2 linked regions of the Sus scrofa genome follow. The protein of the gene in region 1 interacts with the protein of each later gene in a biochemical or structural test. Links are inferred from orthologs where the notes say so. Each region holds a gene or a part of one and is shown on either strand. Other genes may lie near its edges.

Region 1 (3,500 bases):
ATATTTCATATCCAACATTCTTATGAGGTAGATTTTCAGAACCTCAAGTACACAGAGCTTAAATTTATTATCAAGTAAGTAAAGCTAAAATTTATCCTACTTTTTATATTTTGCAAAAGAATGTATTGACATAATGTACTAGTCATAATGTCCAAACTGACTCTAAGTTGGTTTTTATAATCAGTGAAGATACTTATTCCAAAAACACCATTAAAGTAAATATTTCACTTCTTTACCATAAGTATTTTCTTAAGAAGGTAAATATGCCAATTAGGTAGGATTCTCATTATCACCACCAACTGTAATCTGGTAGCAAAAAATGGCTCTGTTCAATGTCAAGAAACAAATACTGGAATTCACCAAGAAAGTAAAAAGAATAAGAGAAACTATGTTAACCCCTCTAGCTTCACAATCCTTCCCACCCCACAGTTCATATATATCAACCATCAACCAGTTATTGAGCTACTCTTCATCTAGTTCAGAAAACTAAAAGATTTGAACAGTGAATTCACAGCAGTGCCTTGCTGCCTAATATCAATAAAATTTAATAAAACTGTAACTCTTTGCTAAAATTTTAAAATAATATTCTTTGGATGCTCACTGTAAAATGACCTTTGCAGTTAGGTATGATGTCATCAAGTAAATAAATATAAAATCTTAAGCACATACTTCTCTGGTGTCATCTGCGATTACAAACTTTTTGCATGGCTCCTTTATTTGGTCTTTAAGTTGATTAATATTTTTTTTCACAGTTTTAATGGTAAATGCATCAAGATTGGCACATATCTGGAAAAGAGACAGGTTTTGATATTCAAATACTTTTCCCTTTCAATTAACTCAATGCAGAAATCTTTCTCATGTAAGAAATAGGTAGCACAATTTGCTAAATATAGCATTTTAATATTGCCTTACTGTGGATCTGATTAGCCAACAAAATCTACCCTGATAGAGTAAAAAGATGCTTTGAAATTGGGTTGGCAGAAAATTCCAGAAAGAAATATATTTATTTACATTCCTTAAATTTCACTTTCCAGCTGAAAAAAACGATGTGGAGAGAATACAGCAAATTGCAGAGATCAGCAAGAATGGTTATGAGATAACCATATTACATGATGCATTTTAAAGGTCATCTTGATATCCATGGATCATATTATCACTTTCTTCCACACATAAAAGAGGATACTACAAAGCTAGGAGCAGCTGAAGCCCATGTGCCTGAATTTGAATTGCAGTTAATCCTTAATACTAGTAATAAATTATATGTTCTAACCAATAATTGTGCTTTTGTCTACTCTATATGATTTTCACTGACTTCAACTTAAAGTAAGGGCTTTAGCGCTAACATACTTTGTGAATTACTCTGAATTCTTTCAGTGCTTGAGATCAACAAAAGCACTGTATATATTGTTACCATCTGCAGGCAGCTGACAAGATATAGACTTTTGGAGTTCCTATTGTGGTACAACAGTACTGTTGATGTCACTGAAGTGCCAGGATGCAAGTTCAATCCCTGGCCTGTGGGTTAAAGATCCTGCATTGCTACAGCTGTGGTGTAGGTCACAGCTGTGGCTCAGATCTGATCCCTGGTCCAGAAATTCCATAGGCCACAGGGCAGCCAAAAAAGAAAAAAACAAAACAAAACAAAACAAATTTAAAGATTCTCATATCTCCATTTTCCCATTTAATTTGAATTACCTAGAATCTGAGAATCACACAGAACAAAAAAAGGCTCAGAAGAAAATATGCAATTCTAAAACTCATGGAGTATGTATGAAATTAGAAACTTTCTTAGCTTATGCATATTTCTATATAAAGTAGATCATTAAGTTTAAAAATAGGAGTAGATATTTAAAGGAAGGTATTTCATTTGTCCCAATTTTTTAATACTTACGTTTGCTCTCTATAATTTGGGGGCTATTATTCCATGTCATAGTTATTTACTAAGGCATATTTCTATTTTGTAGAAGACTGAGTGTATTTACATTAACTAAAGCATATAGATTTCGCTCAACTGATGATCATGGAATAGCTTCTTTCCTGCACTCCATGGCATCTGGACCTAATCTTACCCAAGAAGTATTGGCATTTGCTCTAACTTTGGTTTTTCTGGTTATGAAGAAAGTTAATGACTTACTTTTAAAATATGTTCTTCAGCTTTGGCTTGCTTTTTGGCTCCCCCAACACCTGGTGAGGCTGTTAGTCCCAATATCTGAGGTAAGGGAATCACTGGTTTCTCTTCTTTCTTGAGTTTATTGTTTTTCAATTTCTGTTTCAAATAACGCCTCATGATGTTATTATAGACTGCTTCTTTGTTGGTGTGATGGCATTCGTCAATGATGATGAGAGAAAAGTCTTAAAAAAAATTTAAATGGTTTATTTGCCCATACTGACAAAATACAGTTAAAAAAGGCTCTTTTAGCTGGTAGACTGAGCTGCCTTGGAGATGTATTTTCTTGGGCAGAATACTGACACAAGCAGTTTTTACTTTTTAAGGGCAAATGCAACTATCCTAGCCACCTGTAAATACATAAGTTCATGTACAGTAATCAGGAAATTATCTCTGTTAACTATTATGCTCATTTAATAGATGAGTTTTGGAAAATTTATAGATCTAAAAAGTGTTATGGCATGGATTTCAAACTCTGGCTTTTCCCCCAAAACTCTCAGAAATGCAATTTTGTTTTTTAATAAAATATATAATTTTAAGTTGGTGAATTTTATTTTCATTCTATCAAATGAAAAACACTATTTAAAGAGGAATCATTTTACTTTGTTTAAACTTTGCATTTAATTATTATGAGTATATATACTTCTTTCTCTTCCTCTTGCCTAACTTTTCTTCCCATCCCCCACAAAACAGAAAAGATTATATTTACTCTCTGGAGAAGAAGGCATATCTAACAGGATCCACTAACATATAAAAAGAACTTAGAAATACAGAATTAATGCAAAGTCTAGAAAATGTTTGATTTAATAATGATGTTCTGGAGTTCCCGTTGTGGCTCAGTGGTTAACGAACCCGACTAGTAACCATGAGGTTTTGGGTTTGATCCCTGGCCTCGCTCAGTGGGTTAAGGACCTGGCGTTGCCGGTAGCTGTGGTGTAGGTCGCAGACGTTGGCTCAGATCCCATGTTGCTGTGGCCCTGGTGTAGGCTGGTGAGGCTATAGCTCTGATTGGACCCCTAGCCTGGGAACAACCTATGCCATGGGTGCAGCCCTAGAAAAGACAAAAAGATGGAAAAAAGTGATGTTCTTATGCAGAATAAAGTGATCTGACTAAAAACGTCTCCAGTTTTTTATTTGCTTTCACAAGGAAGAAGGGTTTTATTGAAAAAAAAATGGAAGACAATCTAAATCATAATTAATTTTTAAATCAACATTTTAAAAACTAAGAAATACAGCTTCTTTTACTACCATTAATATTACTACTAATTATCTTTCCAAAAATAAACATTTTAACCAACCTGACAGCTGTACACCAGGGTCTTCTCCTTCTTCT
Region 2 (3,988 bases), on another chromosome or scaffold:
GCTCCAGGAGGTCGTGAATCCTGTGATCACAGTGAGTCAAGGCCTCCAGGTGGCCCTGCAGTCGCTGTTCCTCGTCCCGGGCCTGTTCCAGCGCCTGAGTCTTGGCTGCCTCGATGTCCTTCAGAGCCATGGCCCGCTGCATCTCCAGGGCCTGCAGCAGACGGCTGAACTTGCCAGAGACCATGGATGCCAGGGTGCAGGCTGAGCTCTGGATGGGCACAGGAGGAGTAGAGGGTAGCCAGGCCTGCGCTGCCCACTGAGCTGCAGAGCAGGGGTGTAGGGGGCTGAGGTCCCTGAAATATCTCCCCGCCCACCTTCAGCCTTTCATTTCTTGCTGCCAGGAGGCATTTCTTCTTCTTTTTTTCTTTTTAGGGCTGTACTCGCAGCATATGGAAGTTCCCAGGCTAGGGGTAGAATCGGAGCTGTACCTGCCGGCCTACGCCACAGCCACAGCAAAGCCAGATCTGAGCCGCATCTGCAACCTACACCACAGCTCATGGCAACGCCAGATCTTTAACCCACTGAGCGAGGCCAGGGATAGAACTCGATTACTCTTGGCTATTAGTCAGGTTCATTAGCATTGAGCCACAACGGGAACTCTTCTTTTTCCTTCTTTTTAAGGGTGCACCTGTGGCATATGATAGCTCCTGGGCTTGGGGTTGAATAGGAGCTACAGCTGCCAGCCTGCACCACAACTATGGCAATGCCGGATCCTTAGCACACTGAGTGAGGCCAGGGATTGAACCCGCGTCTTCATGGAGACTATGTTGGGTTATTAAACCTCTGAGCCACGATGGGAACTCCAGGAAGCATTTTCAAGGTAGCTCACACTCAGGGACCAGCTGGCAGCTGCCTGAAGGACGGAGCTGGAGGACAGGATGGGGTGGAGCAGACAGGCCTTGTACCTGGACCTGGATGCTTCGCTGCTGCAGCTCCCGTAGTTGGCTCTCAGCCTTGGTGGCCTGCTTCTGGGTGACCTCCAGTGTAGCTCTCAGCTGGGCCTGTGGTGCCCATGGGGGGCAGGGTGGGGGGTGAGTGACAAGAGGGGGTCAGGATTGTGAAGTCCCTTCTCAGCCAGTCAACAAACGCCTGCAGAGGCTGGACATCCCCCCCCCCTCGCCCCCTCCCAGGTGGGGCCAGCACACAGAGCATCCGCCTCAGTCAGAGTCCCAGGGAGGCCTGGACAAAGCCCCTCCCCCACCCAGAGCAAGTGGGGCGCCGGTGGAGCGCACCCCCCCCCCGAAAATAAATGCAGGGAAGGGGTGGAGACCCAAAGCACCAAAGCTGTCTGGCAGGTGGCAGTGCGGTGCATGTACAAGGGAGGAGGAAGAGGGCACCCTATTTCATTGTGGCCTGTCTGGTCCCCTGAGGATCCAAACACTGCAGTCTCAGGAGTGCAGGGCTGACCACTCGCGAGAACTATGTTCCCTGCATCTGGTCAAGAAACTGTCTTGCTTTTTCTCATCCCAGCACCACTTTGAAGAACTGAGAGTATCCACGCTTCACGGATGAGGAATGGGTTAGAGAATTTTATAATTTGGCCAAAGTCACCAGATCTGATCTTCCTAAATTCCATTCTTGTGCCTCTGCCCAGGCCCCCCTACCTCCAGCACCAGAAAACATGCTAAGAGTAGGAAGCCAAAGGGTGACTTTCTGGTTCACCCTGCCCCTCCCCAAAGGGCGGGCATCAGTCCTCTCACCCCCTCAAAATCGCTTCTCCCTCTGGCCCAATTCTAGCTCCTGCAGGGCACCTGCCTCGGGGGTAGTGGCTGTTCCTCCACCTGCTGGCCTCGGCTGCAAACCTTCATGCGACTGCAGGGCACGGTCTTCAGCCCCACGAACGACCACTTGTCCTGACTCCCTGCCCCCTCGGCGGCCAGGGGATGATCCTCCAAAACTCCGGCTCTGGACGCCTTGACTTCCTCACGTCCACCCCCTCCGTCCCAGCCACTCCTGTAACCTCACCTGGACTTGTCACCAGATCGGAAATCTCTATCCCAAGCGTCTGTTTTCTGACTCCCGCCTCCTTTCGCCTGGGAATAAGACGCTGTCCCTGCACCCCACCCCCCCTCGCCCCGGCCGGGCGCAGAGAGCAGGGCGGGGTCCCCGGCGCGTCACCTCGCGCTCCCGGCGCTCGGCGTCCAGCAGCACTCGCTCGTGGAGGCGACACTCGCGCACGGTGCACGCGCTGCACACGCAGAGGCCCTCGGTGCGGCAGAAGAGCTCGAGCGGCCGCCCGTGCCGGGGGCAGCGCGCGCCGGAGTCGGAGTCGGGGCCGGGGCCGGGGTCGGGGCCGGGGCCGGGACCGGGCGCGGGCCGGGCGCGCAGCTCCTCCACCACGCCGCTGAGAGCCACGTTGCGGCGCGGCTCGGCGCCGGCGGGAAAGGGCTCCCGGCACTCGGGGCACGCTTTCTCGTGGCGGCCCCACCAGTCCTGGATGCAGCCCCTGCAGAAGTTGTGGCCGCAGAGCAGCGTCACGGGTACCTGGTAGAGCCCCAGGCAGATGGCGCAGGTCAGCCTGTCCTCCAGCCGCTGCGCGGCCATGGCGGCGGCGCGCGGGCCCAGCGCCGGGCCTCTTAAAGGGACGGCGGGCGGCAGCGGCGGGCGGGCGGGGCTCGGTCGCGCCGGGGAGAGGAAGGTGACAGCACTTCCGCGCCGGCCAGCGCCGGCCCCCCGTTCTGGCGCTCGACCCCTATGGGCGCCGAGTCGCCCTTTCCTGCCGCCTGCCACCCCAGGCTGGGAGGTGGGGGTCCAGCTCTCCCCAGCTCCACCCTAGGACCTCCATCCTGCTTCCCTAGACCCTCGTCCAACAGTTCCTGTGCAGGGAATCCGGCCCCAGGCTCTGGCGACTGGAGCCTTGGGAAACCTGTCCTGCCTCTGGGCCTCCTTGTGGCTGAGGATCACCACGGAACCTCTTCTGAGCGCCTCAGCTGAAAATCTAATACAAATAATACAGCAGGTTACCTATCTCCCAGGTGTTCTGGCGATTACGTGGGACAGGCCAGCACGTGGGAGTGCTCGGCAATAGGAGCTTTAGGGGCAAACAACGAGTGCTCGCTTAATGCCCTCTCCTGACCCTAGGGCTCGGCTGTGCTTTTTCTTTGAGCTGAGTTTCAGATACTTGCCAGATTGGGATGTCGTCTTTCCCTAGGTTATGCCTAATTTTGGTTCTTTTAAACAGTGAGGTGGAATTCTTCTGGTTACCAAGAGACAGCAGAAAACAGTGGTTTCCTCCTAGCCCCTTTAATGGAAATGCAAAGCAATCCTTTTCAACTGTACTTGGAAACCTTGCTAGGAGTCAGCCCTCTGCTGGGGGGTTCCTTGTTTGCAGGTCCAAGCTGTCCTGGAACCTGATTCTTCAGAGGCGGTTCTCCTGCAGCTGAGCAGGAGGCGTCAGTCACTGGCCTGGGGGTGCAGCGTGTGTTGGGCCAAGGCGAGTTGGAGGGAGATTAACTCTCCCTTCTTTCTAACGGAGCTGGCCTGATTTTTTTTTTTGAACTTTTTTGTTCGTTTGTTTTTGCTTTTTAGAGCTGCACCAGCAGCATATGCAAACTCCCAGACTAGGGGTTGAATCAGAGCTGCAGCTGCTGGCCTACACTGCAGCCACAGCAACACAGGATCCAAGCTACATCAGCAAACCACACCACCGCTCACGGCAACACTGGATCCTTAATCCACCGAGCGAGGTTAGGGATCAAACGGGAGCGCCAAGCTGGCCTGATTTTGAGGCAGGACTCCTCTCACTGCCATGCAGCAAGTATCATATTATGACCCCTGTGTCATAATATGTGAAGTTTTTCTTTCTGGAAAAGGTGCGCTGATCCTCTTGACTAGCTACTAGGCAGTCTTGCCCTTTAGAGAGAAAATTCCTCTAGCCAGCCAGCAAGGTCACAGGGGCTCTTTGGGCCTCGAGCAGGGGGTGTGCCCAGAGAGCTCTCACACTTGCCTTTGCCCCACCTGACAAGGCTTCTTATTCAAAACACCTGGA

What was found.
Region 2: of the proteins of IFIH1 (region 1) and TRIM65, one has a biochemical effect on the other in vitro, tested with the Homo sapiens proteins (2 studies listed by BioGRID, with this or other methods). The link is inferred for Sus scrofa from reciprocal best matches to the Homo sapiens genes IFIH1 and TRIM65.

The regions. Positions count from the first base shown.
Region 1 is NC_010457.5:68,943,646-68,947,145, forward strand, and holds part of IFIH1 (interferon-induced helicase C domain-containing protein 1), read right to left. Parts: coding exon 3,466-3,500; intron 2,353-3,465; coding exon 2,135-2,352; intron 787-2,134; coding exon 670-786; intron 1-669.
Region 2 is NC_010454.4:5,521,868-5,525,855, reverse strand, and holds the start of TRIM65 (tripartite motif-containing protein 65), read right to left. Parts: upstream 2,801-3,988; 5' UTR 2,545-2,800; coding exon 2,119-2,544; intron 1,002-2,118; coding exon 906-1,001; intron 209-905; coding exon 1-208. UniProt on the Homo sapiens protein: E3 ubiquitin ligase that plays a role in several processes including innate immnity, autophagy or inflammation.